2 linked regions of the Drosophila melanogaster genome follow. Changing the gene in region 1 together with any one later gene gives a genetic interaction. Each region holds a gene or a part of one and is shown in the gene's direction. Other genes may lie near its edges.

Region 1 (4,818 bases):
GTCGCGACAAAGGACGCGACAAGAATCACAGCAAGGTGAGACAGAGTCCTAATCAACTCAGCATAACTCAGCCAAACTAATGTCTGTGCTATTTACAGGGCGACCATCGCCACCATCGTACCAAAGACGGCGACAGCCACAGAGAGCGGGAGCGGGATCGTGACCGGGAGAGGGAGCGAGATCGCGACAAGGATCGGGACCGTAGGCGTTCGGAGAAGAGCAGTCGCCACCACAGTGGCAAGGAACGCCATCATCATCATCACAACAACTCATCGTCAGCCGCCGCTGCAGCGGTCAGTGCAGCATCAGTCCGTCGATCCCATGATGAACGCAGTCGTCGTCGCCGGGACTCTCGATCCGGTTCCCGCACACCAACGGGCACGCCGCCCTCTCGTCGCCGCCATCAGTCGCAACAGTCACGCAAATATCGCGAACGCGACTCCAGCAGCCGCTCCAGATCTCCGAAGGAAGAACAAGCCACAACACTTCGCGGTGGAGCTGTGGCCGGATCTCATATGCTGCTCGCTAAATCAGGCGGCGGAGCAGGATCAACGGCAACTAATGCAACAGCAGCGGCGAGGGTTGCAGCGGCCGCTCTGGTAGCTGCCAATGCAACAGCCGCAGCCATGGCAGCCGGTTCATCCGGCGGCGGTGGCGGCGGTCTCCTGCCCACGCCCAACTATGCGCCCAAGATACCCTCGCTGATGTCCTTGGAGCTGAGCACACCAGCGGCAGCAGCACCAGTCGCAGAACCCATCCAGCTGCCCAGTTACTACAATCCGAGCATCATCAATGCCAATCGCTATGCGGAGCAGCAGCAGAAGCGCAAGCTACTGTGGGGCTCCAAGAAGAGCGAGAACTCGGCGAACAAGTGGGGCAACGCGCACTTCTCCCAGGACTCCGACGGCAAGGTGGCCTCCAAGTTTATGCGGCTCATGGGTATCAAGAACGCTGGTACGTCCGGCAATGACGATGGCAAGGGCGGCCAGGCGGAGTCCACCAATGGAAGTGCAGCAGGCGAGGGAAACCGCGCAGTAAGAGGTGCTGCGCCATCGGGAGCCGCTGGCGGAACGAAAGTGCCCACGGACGTGCAGCAGCGCCAGCGCATGTTCTCCAACATGGAGCAGCAGTACGAGATGGCGCGAGCCGCCACACACACGATGCGTGGCGTGGGGCTTGGTTTCGGCTCCCAGCCACGTACTTTCTAGAAGGGATCGGAACGGAGGAGGATCGGCTCCCTGCCAGGCTGTAAATACCATGCCACTCACTCAACTCATTAGTCAGTCAATATGTTTCTCCTCAACAACTTTTTGTTTGTGTTGAGAAAATTTTTTGTTTTTTTGATTTCAAATAAACGTTGCAACAGAATTTATGAAGTGACGTGGCTCTCTCTTTGGATTTGCTTGGGATAAATGCGTCGTTAGGTAGACTTTTAGTCTACACTATTACTAAGTATGCTAAGAGTATCCAACTTTAACTACAAAGTTCAGCGGCTCTAATCGAAGAATGCTTGAATATTCAATAATAAATAAAGGTATTTTTTTTTACAATAAACAATTTTAAATTTTGGCACTCTGTTTAGTAGATGTCAGTTTTTTGCCATGCACCTTGGCGGTCGGTCTGCCTATCGCCAATCGATAGCTGACCAAAAACAATAACAATAACAAAATCAGCTGACGATAGGACGTCGGATATCGATACCATATCACAAACTAATAATAAAAATAATAATAAATAAGAGAATTAATACTACTAGAACACAAACAAAAGCATATAAAGCTTACACATCCTTTATTAAAACAAACAGCCAAATTGGATTTAAATTGTGGAACGAAGCAAACAGAACCGCTTGAGTTTGTGCCACTGCCACGCAAAAAAAATTATCGTTTCCAAAAAACTAAGCATACTTCATCCGAAATTAGCAATCAGCTAGCCAAAAGCGGAGTGATCTCGTCGAGAAGAGCCACGCCCCCTATCCGCCCACGCTGCCCAGAAGAGAGCAGCGAAGATGTCGTGGCTGAACAGCAGTCTCAGCCAGCTGAAGGGCCAACTAACCAATCTGGCGCAGGAAGTTCTGGCCGAAACGGCAGGACCCGGCGACTTGGAGTATGAGGGACATCAAGCAGGAGGTGCTAGCGTCCAAGACGCCGAGCAGCAGGCCAAGACAGCCCTGGAACTGCTGGCCGAAACCCAGGAGCAGAAGGAGCAGCTGGACAAGCGGTGCGAGGAGAAGGATCGTGAGGTAAAGCCAACTCACAGTCACTTTTGCGGCTTCTTCACCAATGGCCATCCGATTGCCCCTTTCAGATAGCCGCCCTGCGCCGAGAACTGGCCAAAAGCAAGCAGAAACAGGAATCCCAGCTGGCAGCCAGCACATCAGCTACGCGGGAACCGCAGTTGGTAAGTGACGTTTGATCCGAGGGACCTGCAGCTGGCCCCCATGTGGCCATGCCACATCCGGTGCCCACTCCGTCTTCCAGGAAACATTGCACTCCGGCGTGGAGTGGTGTTTGACCGGCTTTATCTTTCAAATAAGCGATAAGCCCAGCTCTCGCGCTCTCTGTTTCGCTTTTGGCCACATATCCCTGAATTAATATTTAAACTGCGATAAGCTAGGAGTCGGCACTACCCTAGTTTTATCTGCACTTCTCGCGTTTACCTGATGCCACATTGTATGCTTCACACGGAGAGAAAAATGGTTGCAGTGGCATATTGTTGTTTTCCGTGGCACGATTACAAAGCGCTAGAATTCACCGATTTCTGTTTTGCCAACAATTAAAGGGGGGTTTAAAATAAGCCAAGTTCTCGATTGCAAAGAATGTACTAATAGTATGGCAGGGTAAGCCATATTTCATTAGAGCGTCTTGAGCTTTCGGATTAGCAATCTAATGCTAAAAACGGTTTTATATTAACTTTCTCCTGGATAAATTTGAATTTGAATTTAAACTGATTTTTCATTTGACATCCATTCACCTTTTTCCCCGTGCAACTTCTATTTGATTTCACATTCGGTGGTGTTTGGTGTCTGCTATTTGCCTGGCTGTCATAAATCCCTGGTCTCCTTTTCGATCACCCCATATGCCTGTTAGCCTTATCTAGGCGTGCTGCTAACCCTATCGCTCCATAGCCCTCCGTTCGCCAACTGCTTGTTCAATTTACCGAATTATTTCTGATTAGGCAAGTTACTGCAGCGCAACCCCAAGTGTCTGATATTCCCGTTGAAAATGCAGGGTGACGGGGTTGCATTTGGAGCCATTTGGTTTGGTCACTGGGGCGATGGAGATCTTTCTGAAGCACAACTGTACCAGATTTTCCATAGTCACCTTAAATATAAAAAATATGGCTTTTCACATTGTAGATCTAGTTTTAAAATACTAAATGACATGCATATATAACCATAGCGTTAGATGTTATATTTTTTTCGAAATGATTGAATTACTCTTTGGCAATTTTATTAGAATCGTAGATACTTTATTTAATTCTTAAAATAATGAACCATTGTATTATGATCTAAAGTTCAAATCGATCGCATTGCCAGTAGGTAAAAAATTAGAAATCCCAAAGACTTTACAATATGGATTACGAGTATACTTTCAAACTGCCTGCTTTTTGAAATTTACGGTTCTTTTAATATAATATAAAGTTTTGTAGTTTTTTGTTCATTAAAAATGCTTTTAAAATTGATTGTTTAAAAAACATCAAAATATTTTAATCAATTTATAATCAAATACAATATGATATATATTTATGTTAATTTAACGTGCCATTATGATTTGCCAGATTTTTATTTGCTCTAAATCCGGTTTTGGTTGCAGCTTAAATTGGCAAATTGATCTTTCTAGTTTCGGCCATCATTACTCATGTTTTATATTTGTTTCTGATTAGCTAATCGATTGTGTAAAAATGAGTTCCTATCAAACATGCGAAGCATAAATTATGAGGGAAAATTGCATCATTTAGTACGAATATTCAGAGATAAACCATAAATACTCATTCCTTATCGGAGCTGGCGAAATCTGAACAGTAAGCAGTTGGAAAATCGATACGGATATCTGATACATATATATAATTCTTTCATGTAAGCGATTTTGATCTATTCTTTTAATTTAATGTCGATAGATGAATGGTTGCTCTAGTCAGCTAATTCAAATCTTGATCTTCTTGAGTAAGATATGACTTAATCGGCTCAAACTTTCATCATTTCATCATTTGATTTCTATATATGTGGATATATGTTTTCCCAGATTTTTCCTTCTGGGCTATCTCGCATGTACTATCTAAAGATAGCCATATCTTTTGGATCGATAGTTGGGTCACCATATTGTTTTGCATAATTGCGCCAGGCGACCGGCGATAAGTGTGCCCTCGTCCCCATCTCCATCCCCATTCCCATTCCCATTCCCATTTTCATTCACATCCCTCATGGCCCACCTCCACTGCCACTACCAACTCCTACTCCTCCTTCGTGAATATGGCAATCTGCTCCTGCCAACCATTATCATCCCCATTAGGCGGGCATTTGGGACATCTGCATGGCACCATGCTCGGGTTATCTTATCCGGGCCAAGCTGGCCAGGATCGAGGGGGTTGGTTGGCTGGATTGCCTGGATCCGGGGGCCTATAAAAGCCCGGTTCACCTGCTGGCTGGCATTCATTCGGTTCCGTGTGATCGATTCACGTAGGCCCGCATAAAGTGTTAATTTCTACTCAGTTTCTTTCTCATTCGGTGGGCACAGTTTTGGCCTGAAAAATTACAGAAAAGAAAAAACGCAAAACAAACGCGATTTGCATTTGAAAATCGTGTGAAATTTTCCTCCA
Region 2 (7,394 bases), on another chromosome or scaffold:
ACCTTGCGTCCAATTGCGCCATTAGCATTTGGCGGCGGGGCCGGTTCGAAGATGCGCTGCTGCAAATTGGGCGGCAGCGTCGAGTACAGGGGAATGCATTTCAGCTCTCCAATTTCTGAGCCCAAATTGTCGATCTCGCGCTTGATGCGCTTGCAAGCCTCCTCAATCTCCTCCTGGCCCGTGAGGAACATTAGGATATCACCTAGAGTAGCAAAATCAAGTTGGGGTTTAGTTTACAATGGAAAAAGCGAATGCGTCTTTTCCGGCATTGAATAGGATCATATTCAAAAGTCGTAAACACTTGAATGATTACAATACCATTAAAGCAAATACGAAGCATTTGCCGCCCTTCGGCACTCGGAAAGTTTATATTTTGCCTGGCACTTTTACATTGTAAACATATGATCGATAAATGCTTCTTAGAACAATGAACTAGCAAGCTATTAAATGAACTCCAAGCTAAACTCATTTACCAACTTACCCTCAATTTCCTCGCACATGTGTATCTGGATTACCGTGCGAATAGCAGCCTCTAGGTAATCTCTTTCTGGTTCGGGCGTGTAGAAGATCTCCACGGGATGTGTGCGACCGGGCACTTTCATGAGCGGTGCGTTGTCGAAATACTGCTGGAACTTGCCGGCGTCCAGTGTGGCGGACATGACCACCAGCTTAAGGTCGCTGCGCTGACGAATGACCTCCTTGAGCACGCCCATTAGAATGTCAGTGGCCAAGGTCCGCTCGTGAGCCTCGTCAAGCAGAATGACCTGGTACTGGTCCAGCATGGGATCAGACATGGCCTCGCGCAACAACATACCATCGGTCATGTACTTGAGCAGCGTCTTGGCCGTGGAGCAGTCCTCGAAACGGATGGAGTAGCCGACCTCTTCGCCCAGTTTTACGTCCATCTCCTCCGAAACGCGCTGGGCCACGGACATGGCGGCAACTCGACGTGGCTGTGTGCAGGAGACTCCCTTGCGCCCCTTGGATACTGCGAAGTCCACGCACCACTGCGGGATCTGGGTCGTCTTGCCGGAGCCAGTCTCGCCCACCAGCACAATACACTGGTGCAGGCTGAGCAGCCGCATAAAGTCCGCCTGGTACTCGAACACGGGCAGCGCAATGCGCTTCTTGTAGAGATTCTGGTACCGTTGTGAGTACGGCGTGTTGGTCAGCGGGTTCATCGTGGGCGGTTGCTTGTTGGGCACGAATCCGCCCAGGATTTGAGCCACTGTGCCGGCAGCGGCTGCCGCCGACGAGGAGGACGCCTCCGGGTCCCTGGTGAGAAAGGAGCGTTACATTACTGCCGTATGTTGGCCTCGGGTCACTTACTTCTTCGCCTTGCTGCCGTAGGTCTCCCCCACTTCGATTCGACGCTTGGACATGCTAATTTATGGTGATTACTGCACTTAATTCTCAAAACGAAGCGTTTAGCACAAAAAAAAACACGCGCTCAGTGAGACCTTTAGCATATACCGACCATGCTGATCGCAACTTTTAAAATACCAAAGTTTACTGTCTGTGTATACTATATAAGCCCATGGTTAGCGAAGATCACAACCAACAGCACGGCAGCAATTTGGCATTTAAAAAAAAACAGCAGTTCAAGCTTAAGTCTTTTGACGAGAATCTATCTATAGAATTCGGTTTTACTCACCAGTTTGAAGAATAGTTGTGAGCTCACAGTCTTAAAATTGACATTTGACAGCAATTTGATTGGAAACTGATTTTGATTTTTACAGTAACAAACTGTTACATGGATTCGGTATTTTCGGCTTGGGTTGGCGCTTTAGCGTCGGCCACACTATCACATTGTATCGATTCGGAGGGAGTTGAATTTTTGCACGTATTTGAAAGCGCAAAGATGCGAAACAAAGAGCAGGATATCGAATGAAAGAGCTCCTGCGAGACCAGGACTAGTTGCCTAACCACCATGGAAATACCCATTCAGGTAGCGGTGCGCATCTTCCCGCATAGAGAGCTCAAGGACTTGTTGAGGAGCTTCGGCCCCACAGAGCCCAAAAAGGATGCGCAGGCGGTGGATGAGGGGGCGGACTCCAAGGACTCCGAGGCTCAAGTTCCGGCGGCTGAGAAGGACAATCCGTCAATTTCAGAGACGGACCCAAACGGGAATGCTGAGCAGGACAGTGCGGCCGATTCGAAGACAATTCCAGATGCCAATGGCAACGACAGTGGTCAGAAGGATTACCCAGACTCCGCATATTGCGTTCAGGCTATTCCCATCAGCGCTTCGGCCCTGGGATTGCCCAGTGCCCTGCCAGGCGGAGATCCCATGGACAGCATTGCAGCTGGACTGATACAAGTCGGTCCCCACACGGTTCCGGTCACCCACGCCCTGCCCAGCAGCAGCTCCCAGGAGCAAGTGTACCACCAGACGGTCTTTCCGCTCATCACCCTGTTCCTGGAAGGTTTCGACGCATCTGTAGTCACCTATGGCCAGAGGGGCCAGGGCAAAAGCTACACACTCTACGGAAACGTCCAGGACCCTACTCTGACGGATTCCACCGAAGGAGTCGTCCAACTTTGTGTCCGTGACATTTTCTCACACATATCGTTGCACCCAGGTGAGTTTACTAAAAGGATCTTATAAGCATAGTTATCCATTTCCATTTTCACTTTAAGAACGCACCTATGCCATCAACGTGGGATTCGTGGAAATTTGCGGAGGTGATGTCTGCGACTTGTTGGGCATGGGAAACATACACTGCACCAACGTAGATGCCGTCTTCCACTGGTTGCAGGTGGGTCTGTCGGCCCGCCAATCGTTGCCGGCGCACACCCTGTTCACGCTTACCCTGGAGCAGCAGTGGGTGTCCAAGGAGGGGCTGTTGCAGCACCGCTTGTCCACGGCCAGTTTCTCGGATCTCTGCGGCACAGAGAGATGTGGAGACCAGCCACCGGGACGTCCTCTCGATGCTGGCCTGTGTATGCTGGAGCAGGTGATCAGTACTCTCACAGATCCAGGCCTCATGTACGGGGTTAATGGCAACATTCCGTACGGTCAGACCACGCTCACCACTCTCCTGAAGGACTCGTTCGGCGGACGGGCTCAGACGCTCGTGATCCTGTGCGTGTCACCGCTGGAAGAGCACTTGCCCGAAACTCTTGGCAACCTGCAGTTCGCCTTTAAGGTGCAGTGCGTACGTAATTTTGTAATTATGAACACCTACTCCGACGACAACACGATGATCGTTCAGCCGGCTGAGCCTGTTCCCGAATCCAATTCCTCTGCTGGACCCTTGTCGCAGGCGGGACCAGGGGACAACTTTGGCCTACAATTCGCAGCAAGCCAATGGTCCAAACTAGTTACCAACGCCGAGGGGCTATTTTCCAAGTAAGTGTACACATTATTTCCGATGTGGGCCTTTTGACGACAAAAGAAATTTATAGGCTGATAGACTCCAAGCTAATTACTGAAGTGGAGAAGGAGCAGATCGAGGAGTGGCTCTTCCTCAAGCAGGAGTGCGAGGAGTGTCTCAGCTCAACAGAGGCTATGCGTCAGCAAAAACAGTTGGTTCCCATTCTGGAGGCCGAGGAGCCCGAGGACGTGAATTCTGAAGCAGCCAATTCGGAGTCGCCAAACTCCGACAACGAAAACGACACAGACAATGAGTCGCATCGGCCCGATCTGGACGACAAGATAGAAAGTCTAATGGAAGAGTTTCGCGACAAAACAGACGCTCTTATACTTGAAAAACACGCTGAATATCTATCCAAGCATCCGAAGGCGGTTATGCAAAGCCAAGACCGCGAGATTGAGGCACAGCCGCCAGAAGAAAATGGTGATGATCGAAAAGTCAGCATTGGCAGTAAGTCTTTGCCTTGAATAACATTTTTTTATACAGTAACATGTTGATTCCTTGCTTTAATAGGTCGCAGGAGAAGTGTTCAGCCAGGTGCTAGCTTAAGTACTGCTGAGCTTGCCATGCTTAATCGGGTAGCTTCCCAGCAGCCGCCTCCGCCCATCGATCCTGAGTCGGTCGTCGATCCTCTGGAAAGTTCTTCGGGCGAAGGAATCCGTCAGGCGGCTCTCGCTGCCGCCGCCGCCACTGCTCCTATTGAACAGCTGCAGAAAAAATTGCGCAAACTGGTCGCTGAGATCGAGGGCAAGCAACGACAGTTACGGGAAATCGAAGAGACAATCCAGGTAAAACAAAATATAATCGCCGAATTGGTCAAGAACAGCGATACACGCAGCCATGCAAAGCAAAGATTTCACAAGAAACGTGCCAAACTTGAGGCCGAGTGCGACAAGGCCAAGAAGCAGTTAGGTAAGGCGCTAGTTCAAGGCCGGGATCAGTCGGAGATTGAGCGATGGACCACGATAATCGGACATCTCGAGCGTCGACTAGAAGACCTCAGCTCAATGAAGCATATTGCGGGTGAGAGCGGACAGAAGGTGAAGAAGCTACAGCAATCGGTGGGCGAGTCGCGAAAACAGGCCGATGATTTACAGAAAAAGCTTCGAAAGGAGTGCAAGCTGCGCTGCCAGATGGAGGCGGAGCTGGCCAAACTACGAGAATCCAGGGAGACTGGCAAAGAGCTAGTGAAGGCGCAAGGTTCTCCCGAGCAACAAGGCCGCCAGTTAAAGGCAGTACAGGCTAGGATTACGCACCTTAATCACATTTTACGCGAGAAGTCGGATAACCTGGAGGAGCAGCCGGGACCAGAACAGCAGGAGACCTTGCGTCATGAGATCCGCAACTTGCGCGGAACTCGTGACTTGTTGTTGGAAGAACGCTGTCATTTGGACCGCAAACTTAAGCGGGACAAGGTGCTGACGCAAAAGGAGGAGCGCAAGCTGCTCGAGTGCGATGAGGCCATCGAGGCCATAGATGCGGCCATAGAATTCAAGAACGAGATGATCACGGGCCACCGCTCCATCGACACGAGCGACCGAATTCAGCGGGAGAAGGGAGAACAGATGCTGATGGCACGCCTAAATCGTCTCTCAACGGAGGAGATGCGAACACTTCTGTACAAATACTTCACGAAGGTTATCGATTTGCGCGACTCTTCACGAAAGCTGGAGCTGCAGCTGGTGCAGTTGGAGCGTGAGCGGGATGCCTGGGAGTGGAAGGAGCGTGTTCTGTCCAATGCCGTGCGCCAGGCTAGACTGGAAGGCGAACGGAATGCGGTGCTGCTGCAGCGCCAGCACGAAATGAAACTCACTTTGATGCTGCGTCACATGGCGGAGGAAACGTCGGCCAGTTCGGCCAGCTACGGAGAACGAGCTTTGGCCCCTGCCTGTGTCGCCCCGCCGGTGCAGGCCAGTAGTGATTTCGACTACGATCATTTCTACAAAGGTGGCGGCAATCCAAGCAAGGCACTGATCAAAGCGCCAAAGCCGATGCCCACCGGCTCGGCGCTAGACAAATACAAGGACAAAGAGCAACGCAGCGGACGCAACATCTTTGCCAAGTTCCATGTGCTCACCAGATATGCGTCAGCTGCCGCAGCCGGTTCCTCAGGGTCCACGGCCGAGGAATCCACGGCCCTGATTGAGTCAACCACCACGGCCACGGCAACCACTACGTCGACAACCACCACTGGAGCCGTAGGAAAAGTGAAGGACAAGGCCCTGGTCAGCTTCAGGCCGGAGCAGCTGAAGCGTCTGATGCCAGCTCCGACGGCCACGAAAGTGACGCGTCAGAAGAACAAGATAATTATCCAGGACGCAAGTCGTCGAAACTAAATACGAATTTAACCATTTCCAGGACGATATTATAAGGTTAAGCCAAATAGCCATATACAATTAATAGCCATGAGCTGAAATCCAGCCACTTTAATAATTAAGGCGATAATATAAAAAAATGCTTAAAAATGTATAACAGATTACTCCCATATACATGCATACATTTTAATCAATAGTCCGACATATATACCAGCTTGAATTTATTAGTTTACTGCTTGTCGTTTAACTTATTAAAGTGGCTGGAGTTCGATATCTTTTTAAGTGTGAAGCAATAGCTCAGATCCTGGTAACAAGAACTGAACAAGTTTCGTCCACAGTCATGACACAAATAGACTACAACACATGGTTCTCATTCCGGCTCTTTAGCTGGGGAGCATTTATTTTAGAAACCCCCACACGTACATACACCTAGCATATGAAAGTAACTATCCTCATGAGATTCAACCGTAAAGACTTGACCTGCTACTTAAGATACTCGCAAGACAAACCGTACACAAAACTCGCTCAAAGTGTTGACCTAAGTCTCCGCATTGTTTAACTTGTACATAACAATAATTATTAGGTAACCACTTAATTTTAATTGATTTTGTTAGTTTTAGCTTAGTTGTAAACACTATTGTGTCTTCCCTCGAATTTTAATTGACCTTCGATACCAATTACAACATACGTACTCCATACCCAAGTGTTAACCTTTAATATTCTATCAAAAGCATTTACTCTGTACAACTTATAAATGCTTCAAATCGCAGTATTTGCGCTAATCCAATACTCATTTTGCATTAACTTAAAATTAAAATTCAATACTGTTTGGTTGTGTACAACGTATTTTTTATTGTCCATTGATATAGATGCAGTTTGCACTGTACTCCGAGTAACTTAAATTGATATTAATGTATGTATGTTCCCTCAATATCAGCGTGTGAAAAATTATAAACACATTTGTAAGCATACATATTCCGCCAAATCGCTCGGCATGGCTTTGTGTGGATATTGTTGGTTAAGCAAATAAATATATACAAACTAAACTAATCAATCAGTGTTTAATCAGTGTTTTATATTCAAAATAAAATAGTTATCGTCTTATAAAGATAATTAAGTTCTACATTTGCAGCTGAAATCCAAGCAAACACAGTCCACAAGGCAACAGGTGAGAAATGTCCCAGAAATTTCCCAAACAATCGCCCCTTCGGACACACACACACACAGAAAGCGCAAAGAGAGAGGATGAGAGGGAGAGAGAGAGAGCGCCGGTTTAAGCGTTGTATCTAAATCCGATGGCGAGTATCTGAGCATCCGATTCAGTCTTGTTTGGACCGTCGAGCGATCGAGAACCGGATTTCAGCGCTAGTCGGCGAATCGCGAGAGCGTGCGAGTATTTGTGTGTGCGTGTGAGCGTTTGTTTTGGGACACCGATACGGATACGGGTACGGATAGACGGATATACGGCAGCGGTACGCGATTAGCAATCCGCCAACCGGTTGCAGCGGTGCTAGTGCACCACCCTACAAAAAAGTGAATAATAGTATGCAAAGTATCTGAAAGATAGTCAAGAGCAGAGCAAAGTATCTGTGTTTGTGTGTGCCGTGCTTTTGTGCGGAGTCGCCACCCCCGTGGATTAGTGGCACCCTGCTGCAAATAGCCCACCACTCTCACAAGTGTGTGTGTGTGAGTGTTAACAATT

The links.
Region 2: of Gmap (region 1) and cos, changing one enhances a phenotype caused by changing the other (phenotypic enhancement), as found in Drosophila melanogaster (one study listed by BioGRID).

The regions. Positions count from the first base shown.
Region 1 is NC_004354.4:15,485,234-15,490,051, forward strand, and holds the start of Gmap (golgi microtubule-associated protein), read left to right. Parts: upstream 1-1,688; 5' UTR 1,689-2,008; coding exon 2,009-2,242; intron 2,243-2,307; coding exon 2,308-2,400; intron 2,401-4,647; exon of another isoform or gene 4,648-4,818. Other genes in the region: CG6340 (uncharacterized protein), read left to right, coding at 1-35, 99-1,208.
Region 2 is NT_033778.4:7,381,516-7,388,909, reverse strand, and holds cos (costa), read left to right. Parts: upstream 1-1,794; 5' UTR 1,795-1,930; coding exon 1,931-2,582; intron 2,583-2,640; coding exon 2,641-3,352; intron 3,353-3,408; coding exon 3,409-3,827; intron 3,828-3,890; coding exon 3,891-5,713; 3' UTR 5,714-6,734; downstream 6,735-7,394. Other genes in the region: Dhx15 (DEAH-box helicase 15), read right to left, coding at 1-202, 482-1,275, 1,330-1,382. UniProt on the Drosophila melanogaster protein: Regulates cubitus interruptus (ci) processing by recruiting multiple kinases to promote its efficient phosphorylation.